Linked DNA regions of Callithrix jacchus. The protein of the gene in region 1 purifies or fractionates together with the protein of each later gene. This does not show direct contact. Links are inferred from orthologs where the notes say so. Each region holds a gene or a part of one and is shown in the gene's direction. Other genes may lie near its edges. The genes, in order: CHD4, UBTF, CBX1, EZH2, NUMA1, BCL11B and SIRT6.

The links.
Region 2: the proteins of CHD4 (region 1) and UBTF purify together in Homo sapiens (affinity purification with mass spectrometry, with the first as the bait; 3 studies listed by BioGRID). This does not show direct contact. The link is inferred for Callithrix jacchus from reciprocal best matches to the Homo sapiens genes CHD4 and UBTF.
Region 3: the proteins of CHD4 (region 1) and CBX1 purify together in Homo sapiens (affinity purification with mass spectrometry; 7 studies listed by BioGRID and IntAct, with this or other methods). This does not show direct contact. The link is inferred for Callithrix jacchus from reciprocal best matches to the Homo sapiens genes CHD4 and CBX1.
Region 4: the proteins of CHD4 (region 1) and EZH2 purify together in Homo sapiens (affinity purification with mass spectrometry; 5 studies listed by BioGRID, with this or other methods). This does not show direct contact. The link is inferred for Callithrix jacchus from reciprocal best matches to the Homo sapiens genes CHD4 and EZH2.
Region 5: the proteins of CHD4 (region 1) and NUMA1 purify together in Homo sapiens (affinity purification with mass spectrometry; 3 studies listed by BioGRID and IntAct, with this or other methods). This does not show direct contact. The link is inferred for Callithrix jacchus from reciprocal best matches to the Homo sapiens genes CHD4 and NUMA1.
Region 6: the proteins of CHD4 (region 1) and BCL11B purify together in Homo sapiens (affinity purification with mass spectrometry; 4 studies listed by BioGRID and IntAct, with this or other methods). This does not show direct contact. The link is inferred for Callithrix jacchus from reciprocal best matches to the Homo sapiens genes CHD4 and BCL11B.
Region 7: the proteins of CHD4 (region 1) and SIRT6 purify together in Homo sapiens (affinity purification with mass spectrometry; 3 studies listed by BioGRID, with this or other methods). This does not show direct contact. The link is inferred for Callithrix jacchus from reciprocal best matches to the Homo sapiens genes CHD4 and SIRT6.

The regions. Positions count from the first base shown.
Region 1 is NC_133510.1:20,791,144-20,794,643, reverse strand, and holds part of CHD4 (chromodomain-helicase-DNA-binding protein 4), read left to right. Parts: intron 1-1,938; coding exon 1,939-2,060; intron 2,061-2,261; coding exon 2,262-2,477; intron 2,478-2,665; coding exon 2,666-2,784; intron 2,785-2,898; coding exon 2,899-3,140; intron 3,141-3,387; coding exon 3,388-3,500. UniProt on the Homo sapiens protein: ATP-dependent chromatin-remodeling factor that binds and distorts nucleosomal DNA. Acts as a component of the histone deacetylase NuRD complex which participates in the remodeling of chromatin.
Region 2 is NC_133506.1:71,070,974-71,074,993, reverse strand, and holds the start of UBTF (nucleolar transcription factor 1), read left to right. Parts: upstream 1-1,220; 5' UTR 1,221-1,354; intron 1,355-1,722; exon of another isoform or gene 1,723-1,837; intron 1,838-2,081; 5' UTR 2,082-2,116; intron 2,117-3,066; exon of another isoform or gene 3,067-3,184; intron 3,185-3,449; exon of another isoform or gene 3,450-3,590; intron 3,591-4,020. UniProt on the Homo sapiens protein: Recognizes the ribosomal RNA gene promoter and activates transcription mediated by RNA polymerase I (Pol I) through cooperative interactions with the transcription factor SL1/TIF-IB complex.
Region 3 is NC_133506.1:118,186,861-118,190,963, forward strand, and holds the start of CBX1 (chromobox protein homolog 1), read left to right. Parts: upstream 1-1,303; 5' UTR 1,304-1,514; intron 1,515-4,103. UniProt on the Homo sapiens protein: Component of heterochromatin. Recognizes and binds histone H3 tails methylated at 'Lys-9', leading to epigenetic repression. Interaction with lamin B receptor (LBR) can contribute to the association of the heterochromatin with the inner nuclear membrane.
Region 4 is NC_133512.1:98,909,661-98,911,968, forward strand, and holds part of EZH2 (histone-lysine N-methyltransferase EZH2), read left to right. Parts: intron 1-1,103; coding exon 1,104-1,185; intron 1,186-2,100; coding exon 2,101-2,181; intron 2,182-2,308. UniProt on the Homo sapiens protein: Polycomb group (PcG) protein. Catalytic subunit of the PRC2/EED-EZH2 complex, which methylates 'Lys-9' (H3K9me) and 'Lys-27' (H3K27me) of histone H3, leading to transcriptional repression of the affected target gene.
Region 5 is NC_133511.1:68,865,873-68,869,850, forward strand, and holds the start of NUMA1 (nuclear mitotic apparatus protein 1), read left to right. Parts: upstream 1-1,178; 5' UTR 1,179-1,381; exon of another isoform or gene 1,382-1,569; intron 1,570-1,930; exon of another isoform or gene 1,931-3,978. UniProt on the Homo sapiens protein: Microtubule (MT)-binding protein that plays a role in the formation and maintenance of the spindle poles and the alignement and the segregation of chromosomes during mitotic cell division.
Region 6 is NC_133509.1:134,158,085-134,162,105, reverse strand, and holds the start of BCL11B (B-cell lymphoma/leukemia 11B), read left to right. Parts: upstream 1-1,221; 5' UTR 1,222-2,222; coding exon 2,223-2,280; intron 2,281-2,727; exon of another isoform or gene 2,728-3,365; intron 3,366-3,795; exon of another isoform or gene 3,796-3,862; intron 3,863-4,021. UniProt on the Homo sapiens protein: Key regulator of both differentiation and survival of T-lymphocytes during thymocyte development in mammals.
Region 7 is NC_133523.1:3,924,703-3,928,709, reverse strand, and holds the start of SIRT6 (NAD-dependent protein deacylase sirtuin-6), read left to right. Parts: upstream 1-1,207; 5' UTR 1,208-1,231; coding exon 1,232-1,297; intron 1,298-1,441; exon of another isoform or gene 1,442-1,518; intron 1,519-2,146; exon of another isoform or gene 2,147-2,321; intron 2,322-2,839; coding exon 2,840-2,967; intron 2,968-3,989; coding exon 3,990-4,007. UniProt on the Homo sapiens protein: NAD-dependent protein deacetylase, deacylase and mono-ADP-ribosyltransferase that plays an essential role in DNA damage repair, telomere maintenance, metabolic homeostasis, inflammation, tumorigenesis and aging.

The DNA.
Region 1 (3,500 bases):
CTAATGTCTCAGATTCCATAGTATCTATCTAGCTCAGGAAGTGGGGAGCCAGAGACATTTTAGGGCTAATTCTGGCTGGTCAAGAGTTAAGAGCATGTCAGGGATTGAAGGAGGGATATATATAGATATAGAGATAGATATATACATTTTTGAGACGGAGTCTCACTCTGTCACCCAGGTTAGAGTGCAGTGGCTCGATCTTGGCTCACTGCAACCTCCACGTCTCAGCCTCAAGCGATTCTCCTGCCTTAGCCTCCTGAGTAGCTGGGATTATAGGCACCCACCACCATTGTCAAACTAATTTTTGTATTTTTACTAGAGACGGGGTTTCACTATGTTGGCCAGTCTGGTTTCGAACTCCTGACCTCAAATGATCCACCCGCCTCATCCTCCCAAAATGCTGGGATTACAGGCATAAGCCACTGTGCCTGGCTGGGATATTATTTTCTATTACTCTCTAGGTCCTGCGCCTTTTTGTGCAGATATTCCCATATGTTGGATAGGACTCTGGGTGGGGTTAGTGAGGAAGCTGAGCTTCAGAGACTTCTTGTGGGCCTCCATTACGCAAACTAAATCTTTTGGGTATCAGAAATTTGGGGAGGAGGTTATATGCTCTGACCACAGGTTCACTGAGCCTTTGTTAAATCTCAGCTCTGATGATTGAAAAAATAATTATGATGGAGGGAGTAATTGAGTTCCTCTCATGGTATTACTTTCATGTTTGTCTTGCTTTCCTTGGTTAGGACTTTAGAGGGGCCTCTTGTGAACTGTGTCATCCCAGAGTAGGTGGTATTTAGACCTGCGGCCAGGTAATTGGGGAGGCTTCTATGAGGGCAGTCTTTCTCCGCTACCTTTCTCAACCCCGCCCCCTCCCCTGCCACTTCCTGTCTGTCCTATGTTGGCAGCTGGGTGCCCTGGGCTGGCTTCTGCGGTCAGGAGCCATTTTCCCTCTCCTCAGTGGGTGAGGCACTCCCTTCTTCTCTCCACTCCTTTCTCTACTCCTCCCACCCCCACTTTAGGCGGGGGTGGCTTGGGAAGAGGGAGAGAGAGGAGGGAGGAAGGAGTCAGAGCTGGTGTGAATGTCTGTTACAAAGGAAGCTGCCTCCTGGCCTTCTCTTTCCCTTCTGTGCCCCTTCCCACCTTTCCTTGCCCTGGAGCTTTCAGTATTACCCCCGGCTTTGTGTGTGCTTCCAGCCAGGGGAGGAGGTGGAGCCAGATGGGAGGAGGATTGCTGGGGGTTGGCGCAGGGGGAGATGGTGACAGCTGGGCTGATTTGGGCCCCTAGGGAGAAGAGGCTGCTGACCCAGGAGAAGCTGAGGAGGAACATTAGGGTTGGAGATGGGGAAAGGCAATTGTATTTTAGGAGTGGGGATGGATTGGGCTGGCAACTGAACCTAGGACTTGGAGGTTCTGGTTAATTTGAGCAGTGATGACTTCAAAGTGGTCAGAGAAGGGTGTGGTTTCCCAGACCCCTGAACTGATCCTGTTGTGGGAATGTGGTGAGGGTATCTTCTATAGTTTCTGTCTTCTGAATAGGACCTTTCATTCTCATTCCCTGGTTTGTTGAATAGTTGATGGCCAGTTACAGAAGGCCTAAACCTAGTTCTCTTAGTTGGTGAAGTCTAAGCAGCTTGATTAAGCTGTACTGGTAAATACCTAGAAGACTGCTGGTAGGCACGGGAGAGAGGAGGCAGGGGTCTGGACAGCTGCCCGAGGTGGGCCTGGTCTGGCCTGGCAGGCCTATTTCGGGTATATACAGCTCTCTCTTTGTCTGTTTTTGTCCTGGGTATCAGCTTCCTTCTCTAAAGAGTATAGCAGTTCTCTTCAGAGGAATCTGGGACAAGAGGTGGGGAATAAAGTCTGAAGTCTCTGGATTAGGCCCTAACCTTTTGCTATTGATCTTTTCCCTGCCTGCCACTCTTTGCCTAATATATGTAGAAAATGAAGAGGACCCAGAAGAGGATTTGTCAGAAACAGAGACTCCAAAGCTCAAGAAGAAGAAAAAGCCTAAGAAACCTCGGGACCCTAAAATCCCTAAGAGCAAGCGCCAAAAAAAGGAGGTGTGTGGGTGATTGAATGTTATGGGGAATGAGAGGAAGAAGGGAGGAGCTCTGAGAAGGGTTGAAGGGCTGAGGACATTTGTGTCTTTCTCAGGAGTGGTGGGCCAGGTTCTGGGGATGAGCCTCAGGGCTGTCCTGAGGTCAGCATGTGTGTAGCATGTGTGTGTCTGTCTCCCTCTCCCCCCCCTTTCCCTGCTCCAGCGTATGCTCTTATGCCGGCAGCTGGGGGACAGCTCTGGGGAGGGGCCAGAGTTTGTGGAGGAGGAGGAAGAGGTGGCTCTGCGCTCAGACAGTGAGGGTAGCGACTATACCCCTGGTAAGAAGAAGAAAAAGAAGCTTGGACCTAAGAAAGAGAAGAAGAGCAAATCCAAGCGGAAGGAGGAGGAGGAGGAGGATGACGACGACGATGATTCAAAGGTGCCTGGATCTCCATCCCCCTCTTTGTGTTGTTAGCTATTGTCCTTTTGTTTCCTAGACACTCTACTGCCCTTTAGAACACTTTCTCTTTTTTTCCTCTTAATTCTGTTACTTTGGTCTTTCAACACAAATTTGCTTAGCAAGTGTGGAGATTAGGTGGCAGGTCCTTGACTTCTCTCTTTCTGCAGGAGCCTAAATCATCTGCTCAGCTCCTGGAAGACTGGGGCATGGAAGACATTGACCACGTGTTCTCAGAGGAGGACTATCGAACCCTCACCAACTACAAGGCCTTCAGCCAGTTTGTCAGGTAAAACAGGAGGGGCTTGGGGAAGGGGGAGGAGAGTCTTTCTATTATCTCTTCTTACTTCACTTTCTTTTATTCTTACACATTTCCCTCTGTTCTTGTCCATTGCTCCACTAGACCCCTCATTGCTGCCAAAAATCCCAAGATTGCTGTCTCCAAGATGATGATGGTTTTGGGTGCAAAATGGCGGGAGTTCAGTACCAATAATCCCTTCAAAGGCAGTTCTGGGGCATCAGTGGCAGCAGCAGCAGCAGCAGCGGTGGCTGTGGTGGAGAGCATGGTGACAGCCACTGAGGTTGCACCACCACCTCCCCCTGTGGAGGTCCCTATCCGCAAGGCCAAGACCAAGGAGGGCAAAGGTGAAATGGGGGTTCAAATGGGAACCGGGGGGGGGGTCTAATGTGGGTCTAGGGTGTCAAAGACAGCATGGGAATGCTGTTCTGTTCGCCCTAAAGTAGGAGATAGAGATAGGAGGGAGGAATGAGTCTTGGATTTAGGAGGGAAAATTTGGGAATTTGGTTGTTGGGAAGTAAGCTTAGGTGGAGAAGATTTTATTTTCCCCGTTTTTGGTCTTGTGGTATATATTTGGATGTATCCTGATTTTAGGTCCCAATGCTCGGAGGAAGCCCAAGGGCAGCCCTCGTGTACCTGATGCCAAGAAGCCTAAACCCAAGAAAGTAGCTCCCCTGAAAATCAAGTTGGGAGGTTTTGGTTCCAAG
Region 2 (4,020 bases), on another chromosome or scaffold:
CAGGCTGGAGGCTGGGCCTGTTGGAAGCAGGCTTCCTTCAGACGGCTTTCTGGCTCCCTGCGTCCGGATAACCTTTCCTCTGAGAAGGGGAGGCAAAGACAGACAACCACGGCCATGGCAGTGCAAGGGTGGGCGGTGGACCCCGTCCAGGCTTTTCATCACCCGCCTGCAGGATAGTGAACCGGGGGAAGTCTCGGTGGCGGTTGCCCCGCTGCCGCCCGGGCAGTGAGGCCGGGGTGCCGAGCTCCCCTCGCGGCTGCCCGCCGCCGCCGGGGGGCAGCGCCTGCGGCCTGCTTTCCCAGGGCTGGCCGAACCTTTTTGACAAACTGATTGCGTGGCGGGGATTGGCTGGTCGGGGCGTGACGCCGGTAACAACAAAGGTGGAGTTGGAAGAAATTAGATTAAAGGAGAGGAAAAAAATTAAAGGGGGAGCTGGCAGAGGACAGGAGGTAGAGACCGAGGGGGAGATTCGCGAAGCGGTGTCTCTCCCGGTTCCGACTACTCCACGCCCCAACCCCAGAAGATTCCTCGCACAAACCCACTGGGATTTTGCTCTTTCCCCCACCCCGGCCCAGTGGCCGATGCCGGGGTAGCAAGGATAGCCGCTGCTTCTTGAAAAATCCCGAAACTCCCACCCTGACACCCCTCACTACGAGCTAAGGAGAGAACTTTTTGCTCGGACTCCTCGGATCCTAAACCCAGCGAAGAGGGGAACATTGAGAAGCTCGTCCTAAAACCCGGAAGGCCCTCGCGGAGCACGGAGATCGGATAAGGCCGGGTGCTCCCATGGTTTTCCGATGTGTTGCAAATCTAAGAGCTTCTTTCTCGCTTTTTTTTTCCTGTAACTCCCCCCCCCGCCCCATTTTGCTTCTGGGTTGCAAAAGCAAAGAGCAATAAAAAAAAAAAAAACGCGCACACACTCAGACACACACCAGTGGCGACATGGGAGAGAGTTGGAAAGACGCAGGAGAGAGAAGCAGGAGGCAGGAAGCAGCGGGGATGGAGCAATGGGAGCGGGAAGGAGGCAGGTTTTCTCGCAAATCCCCCTCCGGCCTCAAGCCGTCTCGCCAGCCCCGGCAGGGGAGCGAGGAGCCGGGCGAACAGATGGAGGAGTGGAGCTCGCTCTAGGCAGCTGGGCTTGGCCGGAGAATGGAGGAGCCACCAAGCGACCGGCTGATTGGAAGAGAAACGCAGAGCGATGGAGGCGGGGGTAGGAGGACGATTTCTCTGCGGGGACTGGCGGCGGCGTACACGCCCGGGTCGGGCGCTGCAGAGCTTGGCTGGCTTTCAAGCCGCGCTCGCCGGCTCCAGCTCCGTGCGCCCCCCACTACTAGCCCTCCCGGCGGCTCCGCAGGTGAGTGCGAGCTGGGGGCAGAAAGATCCAAAAGTCTCAACACGCCCGCCCTGCAAAAAAGAAAAAAAAAAAAAAAAAAAAAAGGAAAGGAAAAAAAGCATTTTTCTTAAAAAAAAAAAAAAAAAATTTTCTGTGCAACCCCTAGAGCAGTGGGAGGGAAGGGGTGAGGCTGAGCAGCCCGGAGGAGGCGGAGGGGCCAGGCGAGGCCGCCGTGGCCCGGGAGGCGGCGGCGCCGAGGCGGCTCTGACGGGCAAGCGCTTGGAGCGGCGCTGCGCTGCGCCGAGGCGGGCGGGCGGGCGGGCGGAGCGGGGCGGGCGGAGCGCGGCGCGTGGGGCTCGCCATTAGCCGTCGCTCCGCTTCGCCATCTCGGGCTTTGTCTGGCGACTTGCTGCCCCGGCGTCGGCTGCAGCGGAGCTGCGGCTCGGCTATTCGGACCGCCGCGCCCCCAGGTGCCCCCAGCCCGCGCTCCCATCCACACGCTCGGTAAGTGAGCCCGGGCGCCGCGGATTTCGGGGGAGAGGGGTCGCTACGAGTGGCGGTGGCGCCGATCTCCATGCGCCCGGGCAGGCCTGGGGAGCCATGCCGGGCTGGATTGAACCGGCTCCCAGAGCGGCTTCTCCGCCGAAGCCCGTCGTTCCTTCGCCGTTTCCGGGGTGTAAAGAGCAATGGGGATTTTTTTTTTTTTTAATGCAGAGGTTTTAGTTTTTTGTTTTTTTTTTTTTTTAAGTTTCGTATGTGCCGTTCGGCAGTGAGGACCGCAAGGTAGGCACTGAAGCCGGGCGCCGCGATCGGCGTGCGTGCGCCCCAAGCCAGTGACCACGCTCTGGGGGATGAGGGTGTGCGCGGACCGCTCGCTCCGGGAGGCGGGAAAAAGCTGGCCTGGAAGCCCTAGTCTGAGCTGGGAGGACTTGGGGGAGAGCTCCGGAGCAGAGCTGTGGGCGCCCCCCGAGCCTCTCCAGCCGCCGGGGGCCCCTTTGGGCACCCTCTCCGCCGCCGCACCTCGGCCCTCCCTCTAGTGCCGGAGGAGCCTGTTAGTTCCCCCGCGGGTCTGGCGAGGTCGCTCTCGGCGCCCGCCCGCCCCGGCTCCGAGCTCCGCCGCCATCCGGGCGGCTGCGTGTCTCCCTGCCCCGGCCCCCCCCCCCGCCCGGCGGCAGCAGCAGCAGCCGCCGCCGCCGCCGCCGCCACCACCACCACCACCCCCCTCCCCTCCTTCCTTCCCTCCGCCTCGGCCGCCCGGGTCCCCCCAGCTCCCGCCCCTCCTCCCAGCTGCCCCCCGCGGAGCCCGCCCGGGCAGGCTGTGGGAGGGAGCGGAGCCGGCGAGGCGGGCGGGCTGGCGCTCGCTCCCCGGGGGTCGGTGTGCGCTCTACGGGGAAGGACGCGCTCGCTGCCCCGCTTCTCCCGCCCCCCCTCCCGCTCCTCCTCCTCCCTTCTCCCTCCTCCTCCCCGCTCCGGCGGCTGAGGCTGCGGCGGCGGCGGGGGGTGTGCGAGCTGAGGCCGGGGCCGGCGGCGGGCGGGCTGCCTGCAGGCGGAGGGCGCTGTGCTTTGTGCTTTTCGCCGCGAGGAGCAGCAGGCAGCAGCCACAGCCGCCGCCACAGCCACAGCAGCAGCAGCCGCCGCCCCAGCGCCGCCGCCTCGCCCGGAGGAGGAGCCGCTGCCGCCGCGGGAGGGAGCTGCGGCTGTGCCCGGCCGAGCGGGGGAGGGCGCCGCCGCTCAGAGCCGGGGAGGGAGCCGCCGGAGCGGGAAGCCCGGAGGCCGCTCTGCGCCGGGTAACCGAGGCGGCTGAGGACGCGCGCTAGGGTCGGGGCCTGACGGCAGGGAGCGAACCGCAGGGTGCGGTGGGCGCCCGGCTGGGAACCGGAGCAGGGGACCGGGCGCGAGCAGACCAGGGCACTGGGGAGGACGCCGAAAGCCGGGGGAGGGGAGGGCAGGAAGCGTGGCCCGAGCCGAGACCTGGCCGCTGGCGGAGGAGCCCGCGCTTCTCGGAGCCGGCAGGCGCAGTTCTCCCCGGCCGCCGGAGGGGGCGGCGGGGCCGGTGAGCGCTGCGCCCCCGCCTCCCGGCCGCCGTCCTCCCGCCCTCTGCTTGGCTCGGCTCCCCGGAGGCCAGGGCGGGGGCGCCGGCGGGGCTGGGCCGCAGGCTCGGGGGAGGAGGCGGCGGTTCCCGCCGCGGTCGCGCCTCTGCGCCGGGCTCCTCCGTGCGAGTCGGGGTGGCTGGGCGGCGGCGGCGCCTCTGGCCGGGGTAGGTGGCTCGGGGCGGGGGGCAGGCTAGGCCGCTTCTCTCCAGCTGCTCGCCCGCCTGAGCGGGCGGGGAAGGCGATGGGAGCCCGGGAGGGGGGAGCGGTGGGAATCCGAATCCGGTCCCCGGGGGCGGTGCGGCCGTTGCGCTCCGGGGCTGGCGGCGGCTGCGCTGCGTCCGGGTCCCCGCCGGGTTGCGGAGGCGGGGGGAACCGGCCGGGGGGAGGCGAGAGGAGGAGACTGGGGCGCGTGCCCGCTTCCGTGGTCGCGCGCGCCCTTTACCCGCCCTTCCTCCTCCCCCGCCCTCCAGCCTGGGGCCTCCCCGGGGCGGGCGCTCAGAGGAGGAGGAGTTTTTTTTGGCCAGGGTTGGGGAAGGAGGGCGGAGGGCGGGCGCTTGCTGCACGCGGGAGCTGGGAGCAGGCTCTCGCGTGGGC
Region 3 (4,103 bases), on another chromosome or scaffold:
TAATCTTTTTTCTTTTTTTTTTTTTGAGACAAAGTGTCACTCTGCCACCCAGGCTGGAGGGCAATGGCATGATCTCGGTTCACTGCAACCTCCACCTCCCGGGTTCAAGCAATTCTCTGCCTCAGCCAACCAAGTAGCTGGGATTACAGGCACCCACCACCATGCCCAGCTAATTTTTGTATTTTTAGTAGAGACAGGATTTCACCATCTTGGTCAGGCTGAACTCCTGGTCTGGTGATCCACCAACGTTGTCCTCCCAAAGTGCTGGGATTACAGGCGTGAGCCACTGCACCCAGCCAGGGGAATTAATCTTAACACTGAGTAGGTTTTTTTTTTTAGATGGAGTTTTGTTTGTTGCCCAGGCTGGAGTGCAATGGTGCGATCTCAGCTCACTGCCACCTCCGCCTCCTGGGTTCAAGCAATTCTCCTGCCTCAGCCTCCCAAGTAGCTGGGATTACAGGTGGCACCACCATGCCCAGCTAATTTTTGTACTTTTAGTGGAGACGGGGTTTCACCATGTTGGCGAGGCTGGTCTTGAACGCCTGACCTCAGGTGATCCACACACCTCGGCCTCCCAAAATGTTGGGATTATAGGCTTGAGCCCCCGCACTCCGCCTTAAGAGGAGTTTTGCAGAGATTTGAGGAGGCGGAGATTGAGGACTACAGAAACGGTTGGAAATTTGAGGAGGCGGAGATATAATAAAGTTCTGGTTAAGAACATAAGATTAAAAAATTCAAGGATGTGAATTACCTAACTGTCCAGAAGTGGTTGATTTTTTGGGCCAAGCATCAAAGGGCTCATTTATAAAAATCACATGTCCTGGTCGGGTGCAGTGGCTCATGCCTGTAATCCCAGCACTTTGGAAGGCCGAGGCGGGCGGCTCACGAGGTCAAGAGATCGAGACCATCCTGGCCAACATGGTGAAACCCCGTCTCCACTAAAAAATACAAAAATTAGCTAGGTGTGGTGGCGCGCGCCTGTAGTCCCAGCTACTCGGGAAGCTGAGGCAGGAGAATTGCTTGAACCTGGGAGGCGGAGGTTGCAGTGAGCCAAGATCGCGCCGCTGCACTCCAGCCTGGGGACAGAGCGAGACTCCGTCTCAAAAAAAAAAAAATTATGTTCTAATTTTCTAGGTTACAACGCTCAACGCTGCAGTCGCTCCGCCGTTACAGTTTAAAACCTCGAAGTCCCTACCACCCTCGCCTACTGTGCGTGCGCAGCGCGCGGCACTTCGGGCCCTGTAGTCTTGGACTGATCCCGCGGACCAGGGTGCCATGCGGCGGGTCGCCGCGCCTGCGCGGTGCGGGCGGCGGGCAGAGCAGAGTGCGAGGCTCTTTTGTTCGGTTGAGGGGAGGGCCCTTGGCCTGGGCCTGCGGTACGCCGCTCCAGTGAGGTGCTCCATTGCGGCCACCGGGCTTGCTGCCTTCCTGGGCGCCACTCCCCCGGCCGACCCGACACGACGCGCCAGCAGCGCAGCACCGATTCCTCTCCGGCTGTTAGGCGCTGCTCTGAGGTGAGGAGCCCGCTGGAGGCGGGAGAGCTGGGGGAGGGGGCACGGTGGCGGCGGCGGCGGGAGCCCTGCGTGGGGGCCCGCGCTTTCGAGGCAGAGGTTGGGGGCGGGGAGCGGGGAGCGCGCCCGGGTCCAGCGTCCTGTTTTTCCACTTCCCGCGCTGAGCTCTCCGCCTGGCGCTGAGGCGTCGTTGCCAGCTGCGAGAAGGATGGGGAGGGCGGGGCGCGAATCCTGAGCCAGAGACTGAAGCTCTTCAGGGTGGGCCGAGCAGTTGGGGACCGCTTTTCCGGGCCCGCGTAGTCCGGGACAATGCTGCTTGGGTTGGGTGGGCGTCTGGGGATAGGGCTGGAGAGAAAACACCTTACAAGATTGGGAAGGGGACAGGCTTGAGGCTTGGATAGGTGTGGGGAGGAGCTGACGACCGCGAGACCCGAGGTTTGTAACTGTAATCGGAGGACGCCGGGTCCCGCCGGGGCTGCCAGAGAAACCTGGCTTTGCAGGACTACGGAAGAGTAACTTGGAGTTAATTGGAAAGAGGGCCCTGGGCCGCACAAAGTGTGCCGATTGGTGGAGGAGATGGAATAAATTGGGAAGGGGGGCACGGAGGGGGAGGGGCAAGCGTTTGCTGGGCCTGGCTCTGGAGGGGGAGGAGCTGTTAGGATATGTAGGGCGGAGATCCGGAGAATATTTCTGTAAGGTGTGTAAGGGAAAAGGGGAAAGCAGGCCGCCCTTGCTTCCTGATGGGTCCTTTCAGTGGGGAGGCTGTAAAATAATACGTGAAGAAAGGATTGAATACGCTTTCTTCACTTTTCCAGGTTTCCTACTGCCTTTGCTCCATGATTCCTTTGGGGAGTTAAGTCCAAGTGCAGCTCTTGCTTTGATTCAAAGTTAGTTCCATAAGTTTTTGTCTGGGATCGTTACTGGTCTCACAAAGGTGATAAAATTGTAAAATGCGTAGGTGAGTTAACAGTTAAGGAATGGAGTGAGGTAGTGATGACATCGTGTAAGGTAGGAGAAATTGGGAGACAGGAAGAGCAAGTATGTGAGATTGTGAGATAATACTTGTTTAGTGGGCCCTTCTGTTTTTTAGCCAGGTTTTCCTTTTTGGAAACTTTGAATACAGAGTGAGCAGTATTTTACCTCTTTTCCAACTATTTAGATGAGGGTTTTTCGTGAATTGATGTTACATTTAGACTTGTGTTGGTTTAAGTCAGTTGAGGTGGAATTTACAAAAAGATAGCTATAATCTGTTATACTAGAACCTCTAGCCTAGGGTAAAGTAGCCTTCTCAGTTGTGTTAAGAATCACACCAGCAGTTTGGAAAAATTGTGAAAGGTCCAAGGCTTTGGAATAGATTCAGGAATACAATGGGGAAATTAATGCCGGTGTTCCTCCTTAGGTGCCTTACAGACTTTTATAGGAAAGTGGTGAGATTGAAAATCCCTTGTATTGAAACCAGTTGCACCTTAATGAAGCTTCAGGGCAGCGGAGGACCTGAAGTCATTTACGATTTTCCCTGTGGTAATATTTTTCTTCAATGGCTGCTGTTATTCTAAATTATTTTTCACTAAAAATGTAAATAATGGGGCCGGGGATGGTGGCTCACGCCTGTCATCCCAGTACTTTGAGAGGCTGAGGTGGGCAGATCACCTGATGTCAGGAGTTTGAGACCACCCTGGCCAACATGGTGAAACCCCGTGTCGACTAACAATACCAAAATTAGCCAGGTGTAGTGTGCACACACCTGTAGTCTCAGTTCTTCGGGTGGCGGAGGCAGGAAAATAGCTCGAACCTGAGGCAGAGGTTACAGTGAGATGAGATGGCACCACTGCACTCCAGCCTGGCAACAGAGGGAGACTGTCTCAAAAAAAAAAAAAAGAAATAGTTTTGAATGTAAATAGAAGCCTAGTGCTTATAGCTTCCATATTAAAGGAGACCAAGTAAGGTACCCTAGTCTTCTGCATTTTATAAACCATATCTCCAAAGAAAAGAAGCAATCACTCTTGTGCCCATTTTAAGGACTAGGAAAATGTTTCTTTTTGTTGTTCACACCATTTGAAAAGAATTCCTTAAATTTTGGCATACTCTAGTGGTTTATCTAGCAAAACCTCCCTTTTTAAAAAATATCCTGGCTGGGCACGGTGGCTCAAGCCTGTAATCCCAGCACTTTGGGAGGCTGAGGCGGGTGGATCACGAGGTCAAGAGATCGAGATCATCCTGGTCAACATGGTGAAACCCCGTCTCTACTAAAAATACAAAAAATTAGCTGGGCATGGTGACGCGTCCCTGTAATCCCAGCTACTCAGGAGGCTGAGGCAGGAGAATTGCCTGAACCCAGGAGGCAGAGGTTGCGGTGAGCCGAGATCGCGCCATTGCACTCCAGTCTGGGTAACAAGAGCGAAACTCCGTCTCAAAACAAACAAACAAAAAAATATCCTATCTGCGGTGGTATAAGAGATTTTCCATTAGATTTGGTAGATTTTCACTTCATAGGTTCTTTCCATAAAGAGTTTTTGGAGTAGAAGGCTAATTGCTAGTTTATGGACTCCCATAAAATGGGCCATACCTCTTGTTCATCAGTGCCTGCCACAT
Region 4 (2,308 bases), on another chromosome or scaffold:
TGGATGGTGCTGGGTGCGGTGGCTCACTCCTTCAATCCTAGAACTTTGGGAGGTTGAGGCAGGTGGATTGCTTGAGCTCAGGAGTTGGAGACCAGCATGGGCAACATGGTGAGACCCCATTGCTACAAAAAAATGCAAAAATTAGCTGGGTAGGGTGGTGCATACCTGTAGTCTCAGCCACTTGGAAGCTGAGGCAGGAGGATCACTTGAGCCTGGGAGGTTGAGGCTGCAGTGAGCCATATTTGTGTCATTGCATTCCATCCTGGGTGACAAAGTAAGACCCTGTCTCAAAGGGAAAAAAAATAACTGGATTGCTTTGATTCTAGCCAAATACAGCTTTTCTCATTGAGGGACAACAGGGAGAACAAGAGCTTTATCATAGTGTCCTGCTTAATCCACAACCTAGTTGATAAGGACCTAGAAACAACAGTGTCATTAGTTACTCACCTTTTAAATTGTTGCGTTAAAGAAAAATCATAGGGCTAGCTTCAGTTTGGAACCAACTCACCCAATTTTTGTGTTTCACCCCCTGGCCTTTGTTTTTGAGGTGAAGCTCTTACTGCCCAGGCTAGAGTGCAGTGGCATGATCTCTTCTCACTGCAACCTCTGCCTCCATCTCCACGGTTCAAGCGATTCTGCCTCAGTTTCCCCAAGTAGCTGAGATTATAGGCATGCACACCACATGGCTAATTTCATATTTTTAGTAGAGATGGGGTTTCTCCATGTTGGACAGGCTGGTCTTGAACTCCCGACCTCAAGTGATCCACTTGCCTCTGCCTCCCAAAGTGCTGGAATTACACGCATGAGCCAAACTCTGTGTGTGTGTGTGTGTGTGTGTGTGTGTGTGTGTGTGTGTGTGTGTAACTCAGCAAAAAGACTTTTGTTTCTTACTTTCTCCAAGGATAATTACTTTGGGATGTGGAAATATTTCTGAGTTGAGGGTCCAGTGTGCAGACTGAATGGGAAAGAGAACTTGGCAGTAGTGACCCTTTTTGTTGAATATTCTCCAGAAGGTCCAGTATTCACTCTGTGAACTTTTGTGTGTTCTGTCAGGCTTGATCACCTTTATCCAAAAGAATTTTCTCCTGTGTCTTTCTCTTTAGATTATTTCTCAAGATGAAGCTGACAGAAGAGGGAAAGTGTATGATAAATACATGTGCAGCTTTCTGTTCAACTTGAACAATGGTATGTTTTTGAGCTGGGAGGCAGTGAGTTCCTCTGAATTGCATGTGGCAGCCTTTTGCTGCATGCAATTTCTGCTTCAGAAATGAAGGTAGAGGTCAGTGAGGTGACCGGAAGGAAGATCTCCACAAAGGCATTGGGGCTGCTTGCTGGAAAGGAACTGGAGCAAGGAATTCCTCAGGTAGCAAATACTAGGAAACCGCCTCTAGAGTCCCAGCCATCTGTGGATGGGGCTGCACCAGTCTCTGGCTGTGAAGGGGACATTGTGCTCTGTTGCTGCTCACCTCTTGTGTTCCAGAAGCTCAGCACACCTCCTCCAGTCAGTGCTTCTGACCAGGAGGGAGCACTGCATTTGAAAGCATCTTCCAGACTTCCCTGGATATTCTCAAAGGACTGAGAGGAAAGGCAGCTTCTTGCATAGCTGATATATGTTCTAGGGTAGAATGTAAGGCTATAGGGAGTGTTTTGGTGGGATTATATGAAAATGGAGGTAGGCTTAACATGTAAGATACTCAGAGAAACTGTTAGTTGGAAGTAGTAGGTTTTTTTCTAAGAATGCTTCATAGACATTAAAATTAATTTTAAATGTGAAAATGCCTATTCTTGAAATTTGGAAGAATTTAGATTCTGGTTTTTTGGCCATGTTTTGCTCAGTCAGATATGTTTATAGTTGATAAGTAATAGCTTTTGAATCAGATAACCATCTTGAATTACAGGTGATTAAATTTAACCTGGAACAATAAATAGTATGTTCTTCCAAATGTCATTTCTTACATAATGAAGTTGGTTGAATGGTTTATTTGTTTTTTGCAGGCAAACCCTAAAGAACTATAACCAGTTGCATTTACAGAATCATAATAACTTGATTGACTTAAAACTGAAATTCACTGGGTTGTGCATATTTTTTTTTTTTTTTAGATTTTGTGGTGGATGCAACCCGCAAGGGTAACAAAATTCGTTTTGCAAATCATTCGGTAAATCCAAACTGCTATGCAAAAGGTAGGTACCTTTGAAGTCAGAATTGGAGCTCCCTTTTCCATCCTGTGATGATGGACTTGAGTACTTCCGGGATACTTTGTTATGTGAACAAGTCGGTAACCACTCGTTGCTCTTCATGCTCACTAAC
Region 5 (3,978 bases), on another chromosome or scaffold:
AAGCGCTGGATAAGTTACTTATTGTAATAGATCTGTGAGGACTAAAAAGAATATAACTAACTAGAGCTTTGAGAAGCGGACCATGGAGAAGGTGTGGGGATAAAAGGGAATCTGGGAACAGTGTGGGAGGATCCTGCCAATTGAGAAGAGGTTTTACTGTTTGGGGGAGGAAGGAAAGAGGCACTTCACGCCCCAGGAAGTTTCCTACATCTCCAGAGTTAGGGTAGGGACTGCGGATTTACTCTATCTAATGCTAATCGCATGTTTTGGAAGAGGGTTCAAATTCTTCAGAGGAAAACATGTTTTGGAAGAGGGTTCAAATTCTTCAGAGGAAAACAAATCCCATTTCTGAGGGCGTTTCCGATCTCCCAGGTTGGGCCTGGGACTTGAAGCATCTGATTTGGGGAGCCTTATGTTTGTGTTGGGGGCGGAGGTTCGTTGTTTTGTTTTGTTTTGTTTGAGATGGGGGTATTGCTCTGTAGCCCAGGCTGGAGTGTAGTGGTGCAATCACGGCTCACTGGCAGCCTCAATTTCTGTGCTCAAGCGATCCTCCTACCTCAGCCTCTCTAGTAGCTGGGGCCACAGGAGCACGCCACCAAGCCCAGCTAATATTTTGTATTTTTGGTAGAGACGGGGTTTCGCCATGTTTTTAAGGCTGGTCTCGAACTTCTGGCCTTAAGCGATCCGCCAGTTTTGGTCTCCCAAACTGTTGGGATTACAGGCGTGAGCCACCGCGCCCGGCCCTGGGGGAAGTTCTTAAACACTCCCAAATCTGTATGGGTTTGTATCTCAATGCTTTTCCCTCCCTCTGCCCCCACAGTTTGTCCCATGTGGGTGTTGTGTCTTGCCCACTGTGAAAGGGAATGAGGGGAGGTGGGGGAAATCTCAGATCCCCCAGCAGGGAAGTTCTTAGTCGTTCTGTGGGTGCCCCTCCCTTCTCCATAGATCTCTTGTCCCCTAGAATGAGTTTCCTGTATTCCCGCCTGACTCACCCGCAGTTGCTTCCTCTCCAGTCTCGGAGTCCCTCAGGGTTACTCAGGGCAACTCCATAGCAACTACTTTTGTCGCCACTATCCCGCAGGCGCCGTAAGAACTGACGCTATGCTTACCGGGACCTGTAGTTTGTCAGAGGCGGAGCTTCAAGGCCGCGGGTGGCGCTGGGATTTGTAGTTTTCTTTGCTTTCAAATCCAGGCCGGGGTCCGGAAGCGGTGATACCCCTTCTCTTTCCCAGTGGCCCTCAAACTTCCTTTCCCCGGGTCTTCAAGCGTGCCCCGCGTAAGACAACTGCCGACAGAGGCCAATCAGAGGGCAGCACGAGGGGGCGGAGCCATAGTTTAAACTAATTGTGCGCTCACAGCGCTGGCCAGAGCCCGGGATAAGGTACGATTAGTGGGAATCGCAAGGCGGAGCGGGAGCGTGCAGCCAGGTAACCGGCGCGGGCCCGCGTCTGGCATGCGGCCTGCGCACCGGGGTGCTGGAGAGGCCGGTGTGAGCGGAAGGCCTCCTCCGTAACCGAGTCCGAAAGGGCACAATTTGGGGGTAAGGTTTGTTAGGAGAGCCGCCTGTCTGAGGGGGAGGAGCCGGGGGGGGTGCCATAAAGGGGAGGGTCTGTTTGGGGGCGTGTCTGTGAAATTAAGTCTGAGGGCGACGGGGGTCGGGGTTTGGGGGTAGGGTAGTGCCTGAAAGGCTTGTAAGCGAGGGGTCGGGTCCTGGAAAGTCTTCAGCGTTTATCGTTATCAATAGCAGTAGTTATGGTAGTGCAGTAGTCAGCATTTTTCTGAGCTACACTGTCCACAATGACCTCCCAATGGTTTTTCAATCCTCTAAGCACCTGTTATACTTTAAAGATGGGGAGGCCGAGGTTTTTAATGTTTAGCTTGGCCAGGGTTACGTAGCCAATGCGAGGTTGGCTCTACTTGGGGTTTTGCCAGTTGGGCATAAATGAAGACGGGGAAGGTGCTTTGTGGGGGTGCGCATTGTCTTGGGCTGGTCGGTGTATTTTGAGCCTCACTTTTCATATATGTAAACTTACCTACTTCCTGGGGTAGTTATCCTGGTCAAAAGAGGTAGGTCTTTTTATTTTTTATTTTATGGGCTTGTTTTGTTTTGGTATTTTGTTTTATTCACAGATAACATGTTTCATACACTCACCTCGGAGGGTACAAATTTATGATTATAAGTGATGTGACTGTGTGAAGATTGTGGGTTGATGCTCCCGCCTCTGGGTACTCTCTTTTGCTTACCTCTGAGTTAGCACTTGTCATCTGGTATTTTAAGAGTCTCTGCGTGTTTGTCTGCCCTTCTAGATAATGAGAGACTTTTTCGTCACTGTATCCTAATGGCTAAGGCAGGATTTGCGACATGTAATGGGCATTAATGTTTGCTTTGGAATAATGTGTTTTCCTGGACTGAAAGGGCACAGGAACTTTGCTTTCCCATTTTCTTTTTTTTTTTTTGAGACGGAGTTTCGCTAGGCTGGAGTGCAATGGCGCAATCTCGGCTCACTGCAACCTCCGCCTCCTGGGTTCAGGCAATTCTCCTGCCTCAGCCTCCGGAGTAGCTGGGATTACAGGCACGCGCCACCACGCCCAGCTAATTTTTGTATTTTTAGTAGAGACAATGTTTCACCATGTTGACCAGGATGGTCTCGATCTCTTGACCTCGTGATCCACCCGCCTCGGCCTCCCAAAGTGCTGGGATTACAGGCGTGAGCCACGGCGCCCGGCCCCCATTTTCATTTAGTGGCATTTGAACCTAAGTATTAAGCTGTCCTCTTTCCTGGAATGTCACTCCCTCTTGAAAACGTGATGATATTTTCTTGCCTTAATACATACCTCCCTCTCTCTAGTATCTGTTCGCTGGTTCTATGTTTCCAAACTTCTGGGTTGTCTGGTCGTTAAAGCTTTAATAGTAAGGGAGTTGGGCCTGTCTACTTTGTGGAGATCTTTACTGCTGTGAATATATGGGAACCGGGGGTGAGCATGAAAATCATGTAAAGGAGCTTTCAGTCAGCACGGATGGGTGTATGTTTCCTCTCTCCCTCTGCTTCTGTGTGGTATTTTCTCTTTTAGAAGAAGCACACACGTTGTGAAAGCTTCCGAAGTACTCTTTTCTTGGCCTAAGTTCAAGCAGTGATGACTAATTGTAATGCCTAATCTTAGTTCAAAGCAAAAAACTGTGCACCCCAAAAGCTTAAAGATCTTACCTGAAAGCTCATTAGGGAACATAGAATTCTTTTTTACATGTGGAATATGGAAGCGGGAAGAATGCCTTGAAATAAGACTTGAATTCTCGAACTGTTAGGATGAGGGCAAAGCCCTCCTTAGGTGGCTAAACAGAGCTGATCAGGGGCTGTTTGGACAGCTGTGTCTAATTGATAAAATTATGATCAGAAGATATAGGTTGGTGCAAAAGTAATTGCTGTTATTGCCATTGAAAGGGTGTGGTCATTTAATTCAGCCTCTAACCCACTAAACGTATGAAAAGGTGTTGCCCAGACTCAAAATGAGGACTTTCTAGAATGAGACCATTCCCAAAGTCAATCCATCTCGATGTTGAGCAATTCTATAATTACTACTTGTGCTCGCCTCGGCAGCACATATACTAAAATTGGAATGATACGGAGAAGTTAGCATGGCGCCTGCGAAAGGATAACACGCAAATTCGTGAAGCATTCCATATTTTTTTATTAAAAAAATAATTATTATTATTACTTTGTATCTGGGCATGGTGGCTGGCTATGTCATCCCATCTACTCTGGAGGCTGAGGCAGGAGGAGCAGGCGGAAGGATTGCTTGAGGCCAGGAGTTCCTGGCTAGCTTGGGCAATATAGTGAGACTCCATCTCAATTAAAATGTGTGTTGTTTTACATTGTTAGTGATTATTTTGTTTCACCCATATATGTCTACTGTTTGTCCAGTTTTCCTTGCATTTTATTCCTTCCTTTCTTATTATAGATACATACATCCTTCACATGT
Region 6 (4,021 bases), on another chromosome or scaffold:
ATGGACGAAGTTGGCTTCAGCCTGGGGAATGGGGGGTGGGGGAAGTCTCCACGGGGGCCGTGGTGTGGCCTTGTCCGCGGGCCACGGACAGGCCCCACAACTCCTGTCCTCGCCGGCTGGAGATCAAACGGCTGACAAGGCAGCTGCGTCCTTCCCAGTCTGACAGGCATTTCCAAGTCCTACCCTGGGCCGAGGAGCGCGGGAGGCGGGGTGCGACTTCCAGGTTACTGTGATTGTCAGGGGCGCCTCCTGGAGTCACCCACTCGAGTATCTGCGGAGATCTGGCCACACCTACTCCTGAGCCCGCAAGTCCTAGTCCCTCTCCCACGTGGGGCGCCGCGGTCCCTTTACCCTCTCGCTGGCCATAGACCGGGTATAGGAGGTGGGGCCCGTAGGAGTCAATGAGGGTGAGGGGAGGGGAGGGGGCAAAAATTCGGGTGCAAATCCTTTTCCAAATGGGACTCAAACAAGGTCTCAGACACTTCTCACCCACCCCCCTCACGTGCTGTTGATTCTGTCCTCTTGGTGTCGTTTGTCTTCCTCACCCTCCCAGAGTCTGTAATACCAGGATTTACATGGAGACACTTTTTGGAAGTTGAACTTCAGCATCCACCCGCCCCCCGCAACCGTAAAATAAAAGTAAAAACTACCAAGCGACTTTTCCAGGGAAACGAAGCAATTCTTCATGTCCCCCACCGCCATGACGACCCCAACCCTTTTCCGCAGTCCACACCCCCACCCCCAAAGTCCAAGTCCGAAAGAGCTTTTGGGTGGAGACTTGCACTGATTCAATGTAGTTCACTCACACGGCACCCTGCCCTCCCCCTCTTCTCAGGGGGTCCTGCTCCCAGGAGGGAGGGGATATAAGGACGATTTTTCTTGTCTTTAAAAATATGGTGCCCAGTGGCCCCCGCCCCCTCCCCCTTTAGCGCAGCCGGGGATCGGGGGAGATGAGGAACGCACAAAAACGCGGTTTGCACGTGTGGCCTGCCTGGGCTGCGGGTGTGCGCACCGGCGAGTGTGTGTGTGTACATGTGTGAGTGTGTGCGCGCGCGCGTGTGTCTCTGTGCTTTCTTGTTCTCTTACAGGGTACAATGTTAAAAAGCCACCGCTAGTCGCCCCCAGTGCTCCGACTCTCTGGGTCTTTTTGTCTCTAGTGCAGATTAAACGTCACGTCCGCACTTGAACTTGAATTTTATCCCATTGTACAGAGGCAGCCCCAGCCATAGAGAGACCGAGAGCTCCCAGAGAACCCGGACTCCGCCATCTTCACGTTGCAATCTATAGCTCCCAGTCCGCGCCCGCACCGACCCAGGCGCACTGGGCGAGCCGCCCCTCCGCCCCGCTCCCCCCGGGCCCGCGGCGCCAGGGGAGCGCTGGGGAGCGCTCGCGGGGACTCGGCAGCCCCTCCGGCCGGCGCCAGCCTGCCAGGTGAACTGGGAAGGAGCCGCTCTTGGTGTCCCCCCAGAGCCTCGGAAGGGTCAGTCTCCGAGAAAAAAAAAAAAAGAAAGAAAGAAAGAAAAAAGGCAGGCAGCCCGCAGAAAACCCAGAAACAACCGAACCGGGGCAGTTTTACATTGCTTTGGGTTTTTTGAGGGGGCGGGGTGAGGGGGTACGAGACAAGTCCCCAAGTTTTCTTTGCTTTTTTTTTCTTTGCTTTTTCTTCTTCTTCTTCTTCTTTTTATTTTTATTTTATTTGTTTGAATTTTTTCTTTTCCCCTCCTGGTAGAAGTGCGCTTTCCACCTACCAGACCTGAAAGAAAGTGTCAGGAGCCGGTGCAAAATCCAGTTTAAGTTCAAGAAGACATTTGCAAGTGCAAGAGGCCAAGCAGTTGGAAGAAGTGTGAGAGATTTCTTTTTCCTTCGAAAGAATATATTTTTAAAGAAACCAGCCAGTCCGCGGAAAGCCACAGCAGTTTTTTTTTTTTTTTTTTTGCCTCTTTCTCTTATTTTAGATTGAGAGGTTTTTCTTGCTTTTCCTCCTCTTTTTTCTTTTTGCAAACAAAACAAAAAACAGCATAGAAGAAAGAGCAAAATAAAGAAGAAGAGGAGGAAGAGAGGGCAAGAGAGGAAGGGAAAAAAAACACCAACCCGGGCAGAGGAGGAGGCGCGGCGGCGGCGGCAGCAGCGGCGCGGCGGCAGCGGCGGCGGCTCGGACCCCCTCCCCCGGCTCCCCCCATCAGTGCAGCTCTCCGGGCGATGCCAGAATAGATGCCGGGGCAATGTCCCGCCGCAAACAGGGCAACCCGCAGCACTTGTCCCAGAGGGAGCTCATCACCCGTAAGTGTCTGCGGCGTGCGCGCAAGGGGCCGGAGATGGGGCTCCGGGCGCCTAGGGCTGGGGACACGGAGCCCGGAGCAGCCGAGTAGGGCCAGGCGCCGGGGCCGCCTGCGGGCTGGCAGAGGCCACGACGTCGGCCTGGAGCATGGCGGGGGCGGGGGCCAAAGGAAAGTTTCTTTGCAGCTCGGGGAGTTGGGGCGCTGAGCAGCCGGACGCTTCTCGGGCTTGCGGGCCTGCGGAGCCGGCTCCGGGCCGGGGAGGGGGCGTGCAGGCTGGAGGAGTGTGTGTGCGCGCCGAGCCCGGCTGGACGCTCGCCCCTCCGAGCGGCGTGTGTGGCGGCGGCGGCGCTGGTGGCGGGGTTTGGAGAGGAGGGGGAGGGGGTTGGGGGAGCCGAGGGGGAGGGGGGAGCCGGGAAGTGGGGAAAAGTTGGCGAGCGCGTGGGTCCGCGCTGATGGCGCGGGCGGAGGAGAGCGGGGTGCGCTCCGGGCTGGGGGAGCTGGAGGGCAAGGGGCGGCCGCTGGCTCCGGGTCCCCGGTCGCCGCGCCCGGCCCAGCAAGGCGCCGGCCACGCCGGTCCTAGGATTCCGCCGCCGCCTTTCTCTCCCCTCCTCCTGCTATTTGCAAAATAATCCAGCTGCGCGGCTGTTTGCCGGGCTCAAGCCCCCTCCCTACCCCCCATTTCCCCACCTCCGTCTGTCTCCTGGGATGATCTTGTCTTCTTTCTCCCACTCCAAAAAAGGTGGGGGGATTGGGGTTGGTGAAAAATCCCTCCACGAGAAAAAAAAAAAAAGGTTGTCAGGAGTGGGAAGACAGTGATGCGCTTGTAAAATAGTAAAAGAAAAAAAAAAAGAAGAAAAAAAGGAGACCCATCAATCTCATATCCATCTTTCTATCTCAGTATCTTTCATCTTTCCTATCTAAATAAACAAGGCAGGTCGCAGTGGAAATCCACCCGCTGAAATCGTGTAGATTTCAAGCATGTGGCGGGGCGGGCAAAGTCAGGCGGCGGGGCAAGAGAAGCAGCAGCTTCCACCGTCCCTGTTGGGTTTATTTAGCCGAGGGAAAAAGCGAGCGCGAGCGGGCCAGGTACGGGGTTTGCAGGGGAGCCCGCCCCGGGTCCCCGCACACTTGCACCGGGAAGGTGGCTCCGCGGCGCTCCCCGCCCGCCGCAGCCCGCGGGGCCGCTTCCTCACTGCGCGCGAACATTTCCCCGGCGTTCTTTCTCTCGCGGTGCCCGGGTCGCCGTTCCTTTTTCTTTTTTTTTTTCAATTGCAATAGAAATAAAACATCCTCTGGGCGCCACCGAGACCGCGGGCAGGTTGTAAGCCTGCAATCCGCAGCGCACCTCGCGGGGCTGGGGCCGGACTGCCCGCGCGGAGCTAGAGAGGGCTGCGCGCCCAGCTGCCGCCGAGGACTGGCTGCGGGGCGGCCGAGAGCCGAATATTTATGTTATATTTTAAAAAATTTAAATAAATAAATAAATATATAAAGGGGTTCTCCCCTCCCCTGAAAACCCAGCATAGGAGCCATCTGCTCGGAGCAATTGCTGTTGCCATCTCTCCTTTGTTACAGCAGATACATTAGTAAGAATTTGTGGATTTATTTTGATTATTTTTGTGGGGGAATAGATATTAAAGTGGGATTCGCCTTGGGAGAGGGATGCCTCTTTGGAGGGAGGGAAAAGGACTTCTCTTTTATTTTTCGCCATTGTAACATCAAAGAAGACTCTCTGGTTGCATTTA
Region 7 (4,007 bases), on another chromosome or scaffold:
TTCCCTATCATCACTGGACTGATTTCAGATTCTGGAAGGAGCCACGCTCTTCCTGTCTCCTCAGCCTTTGCACTTGCTGTTTCCCCCACTGGGAACATTCTTTCTATATTTCAAGTCACTCCCAACCGGCTCTACCTGACTCATGCACTCTTTAGATCTTTGCTGCAACATCCCCTCCTCCAGGAAGCCCTCCTGGATGCCCCCAAGCTGGGTCAGGTGCCTCCTGTGAGCCCCCTCGCTGCCCTGTGCCCTCTGCATCCCCCATTGCACCGCAACCACACCATGTCACCATTACCTGATCACATCTTTGTGTCCACCCCCAGCCACCAGGGCAGGGACGGTACCATCTTTGTTCCCCAGTGTGCCCAGTGCACAGTAGGTGCTCAACACATGATTCTTAAATAAGCCCTCCAGGCCACCAGCCCCAGTGACCACGAGCAGGAAGTGTCCTGCAAAATTCAGAGCCTCCACTTGTATGATATTCAGATAACCTGGCCCGGCGCGGTGGCTGACGCCTGTAATCCCAACACTTTGGGAGGCCGAGGCGGGTGGATCACCTGAGGTGAGGGGTTCGAGACCAGCCTGGGCAACATGGTGAAACCCCATCTCTACTAAAAAACACAAAAATCAGAAAAAAGAAAAAAAAAAATTAGCTGGGCGCGGTGGTGGGCGTGTGTAATCCCAGCTCCTCGGAAGGCAGAGGCAGGAGAAACGCTTGAACCCGGGAGGAGGTTGCAGAGAGCTGAGACTGCGCCATTGCATTCCAGCCTGGGCGACAAAGCGAGGTTGTCTTACAAAAAAAAAAAAAAAATTCAGATAATTCAGGGTGGCATTCAAGACCCTTGGACTAGGGGGTCCCTGCTGTCTGGCACTGTCCTTATGGAATTTACTAACACGTAAAACGGGGTTATGGGGGCATCGATAGCCTGCGTCCCTCATTTTAGAGGTGACTGGAGGACTCTCACGTAGGCGGCCGCCCCAATTTCCCGCTCGGGTCATCGGGCAGCCCCTTCCCAAACCCCGAGAATGCCTGCAGCCAAGAAATCGGGTTTCCTTCCGACAGCAGTTAACATGGCTCCTGCGGCGTCAGCACGCGGCGCATGCGCCTTGCCGAGGGAGGCAGGGTTCGCGGAACAGGAACGCGGCTCCTCCTTCCTCCCCGCCGCGCCCCGCTTCCGGCGGAAGCGGCCTCAACAAGGGAAACTTTATTGTTCCCGTGGGCGCGGCGAGGATGTCGGTGAATTACGCTGCGGGGCTGTCGCCGTATGCGGACAAGGGCAAGTGCGGCCTCCCCGAGGTGAGCGCATCCGGGGATCCCGAGGGTCGCTCCCAACGCCGTTGGCAGGGAGGGTCCGGACGGCAGCAGGGCATTGTGGGAATATCAGGAGACACTGAGGCTAGACAATGGGAGGGACTTCCCAGTGAGGAAGGGGCGGGAAGTGACACCCCTGCGCACCCGGGGACGCGAACACGCCCAACTCTGTGGCCACCGGCCGGGGCTGGTCGGGGAGAGCGGGGGTGTGTAGTTCCAGGAGGAGGGGACGGCAGGCGCAAGGGCAGGGTGGTGGAATAAACGCACCTGGAGAACGATTAGGCCGGGGAGGTTTCCAGAGCCGGGCCAGGGCGGGGCTCAAATGCCAGGCTGGGGAGTTGGCACCTTCTCCCGAGGGGGATGGAGAAGGGTCTTGCCCTGGCGAGGGGCCTGGACAGAATGTGCCAGGAAGATCCCTCCAGCCACTCGGAGGGGAAGTGGAGGGGTCGGCTGTCCCCTCCGCGCCCGGTGGGAAGTCACTTCAGTTCTGGGTCCCCATCCCCATCCTTTCTGCGGAGGCTGTCGCCTGCGTGAAGATGGCCCCGTCCCATAAAGGCTGACCCATGCATTCCGAGTCTTGCATTTAGTGAGCGCTGACGGTGTGTCTGTCCAGAAGCCGCGCTCTTCATTGCTGCTGTCAGTCACTTTATTTATTTACCTACTTATTTTGAGGCGGAGTCTTCCTCTTGTCACCCAGGCTGGAGTGCAATGGCGCGATCTCGGCTCATTGCAACCTCCACCTCCTGGGTTCAAGCAATTCTCCTGCCTCAGCCTCCCAAGTAGCTGGGATTACAGGCACGCGCCACCACGCCCGGCTAATTTTTGTATTTTTAGTAGAGACGGGGTTTCACCATGGCCAGGATGGTCTTGATCTCTTGACCACGTGATCCGCCCACCTCAGCCTCCCAAAGTGCTGGGATTACAGGCGTGAGCCACCGCGCCCGGCCTGTTAGTCACTTTCTTCCACCAACATTGATGGAGCACCTGCTGTGGGTCAGGCACTTTCTAGGTAAGGGGGCCACAGTCAGGAGCAAGACAAGTTAACCCCTCTTTCTAATAAGGGAGACTGACTAGGGGTTGTATGGAAACCAGGTGGCCAAGGGAGGCGTCACTGTCGCTGAGGTGACATCTGACCCACAAGTTACAGGAGGTGAAGGAGGCATCCATGTGGGTATCTGGGGGAAGAGCACTCAAGGGTGTGGGGACAGCCTGTGCGGAGGCCTTGAGGCAGGACTGTGCCTGGCGTGATGGAGGAAGAGGGAGGAGGCCTCCCTGCGTGGCTGGATCAGAGTGAGTGACGCTGGGAAGGGAGCAGAAGAGAACATGAGGGGGCAGGGCTAGGGCTTTAACAAGGCAGGTGGGAGCCACGGAGGTCTGTAGGCAGAGGACACACATGAGGACAAGCTGCCTTTTCCAATCTATTTCCTGCCCCAGGCAAGAAAGGGACAGCTCGGTCTGTGGCTCGTGTATGGCCTGGCCACTTGCGGGACCTGTTCTGACCCCTCCATCTGCTCCTTCCCCCTACAGATCTTCGACCCCCCAGAGGAGCTGGAGCGGAAGGTGTGGGAGCTGGCGAGGCTGGTCTGGCAGTCCTCCAACGTGGTGTTTCACACAGGGGCCGGCATCAGCACCGCCTCTGGCATCCCCGACTTCAGGTCTGTGAGTGAGTGTGCAGGGGACATCGGGGCAAGGCCCACCAGCCTGCCACGGCCTTCCCCGTGAGCCACACAACTAGGCATTAGGGCCCATCCATCTTCCTTCCTTCCTTCTGGATGTGTCCTGGACACTGGGGAGGGCTGATATTCCCTCCCTTTAGGACGTGTCCCTTGAAATCACAACCAGCATTCCACTCACCCCCTTGGCCTGATCACACCTGGCTGGAAAAAAAAAAAATCAGAATTCCAAGGCGTGAATTTTTCCTCCTCCTCCTCTTCCATAACCTGCTGTGGCTCCCCATTACCAGGCAGGAAGAATTCTGAATTCCTGGTGCTGGAAGCTCAAGCCCTTTGTTCCTGGCCCAGCCCCGAATCACCTCTCCAGCGTCAGCTCCTCCTGCCCCTGCTACAGCCCCCAAACACTTGCATTTTCTCCTAAACTCATGGGTTCTTCCCAGCACCCCGGCGTCTGTTTACCCCTTCTGTCTGATATTCCCTCTCACCCTTCAAGAGACGCTCAGACTCCTCCAGGAAACCCTTCCACATGCCCCAGCGTCCCCACCACCTCCACTGGCCTTCCCCAGGCCCAGGTACCTCCTCTGATCCAGTCTTGACCCCGTGGGGCCAGAGGGTCTGTGTCCACCTGTCTCCCCCAAGATCAAGGGTTTCTGGAGGGCAGGGCTTGGGTCCATGTGCCCTGCCAGGCTCAGGGCAGCAGCAACCAAGTTGATTGAACTGAATAAGTCATTTTTGCCTTCGTGTGAATTCATCTCTCCCTCTCTCTGTCTCTCCCTCTCTCTGTCTGTCTCCAATTCTAACTTGACTTTGTCTTTAACTCGTTATATCTCTGTCTCTGTCTTATTCTGTCTCCCTCTCCCTGTTCTTCCAAATTTACCCTCTATTTCTTTCCGACTCCCTCTCTCTGCCTCCCTGCCTCTCTCTCTGTCTCCTGATTTTCTCTCTCTCCGTCTGTTTTTCTGTTCCCCTCTCCCCCTCCATCTCTCCCGGCCTGCCACCTTCAGGGGTCCCCACGGAGTCTG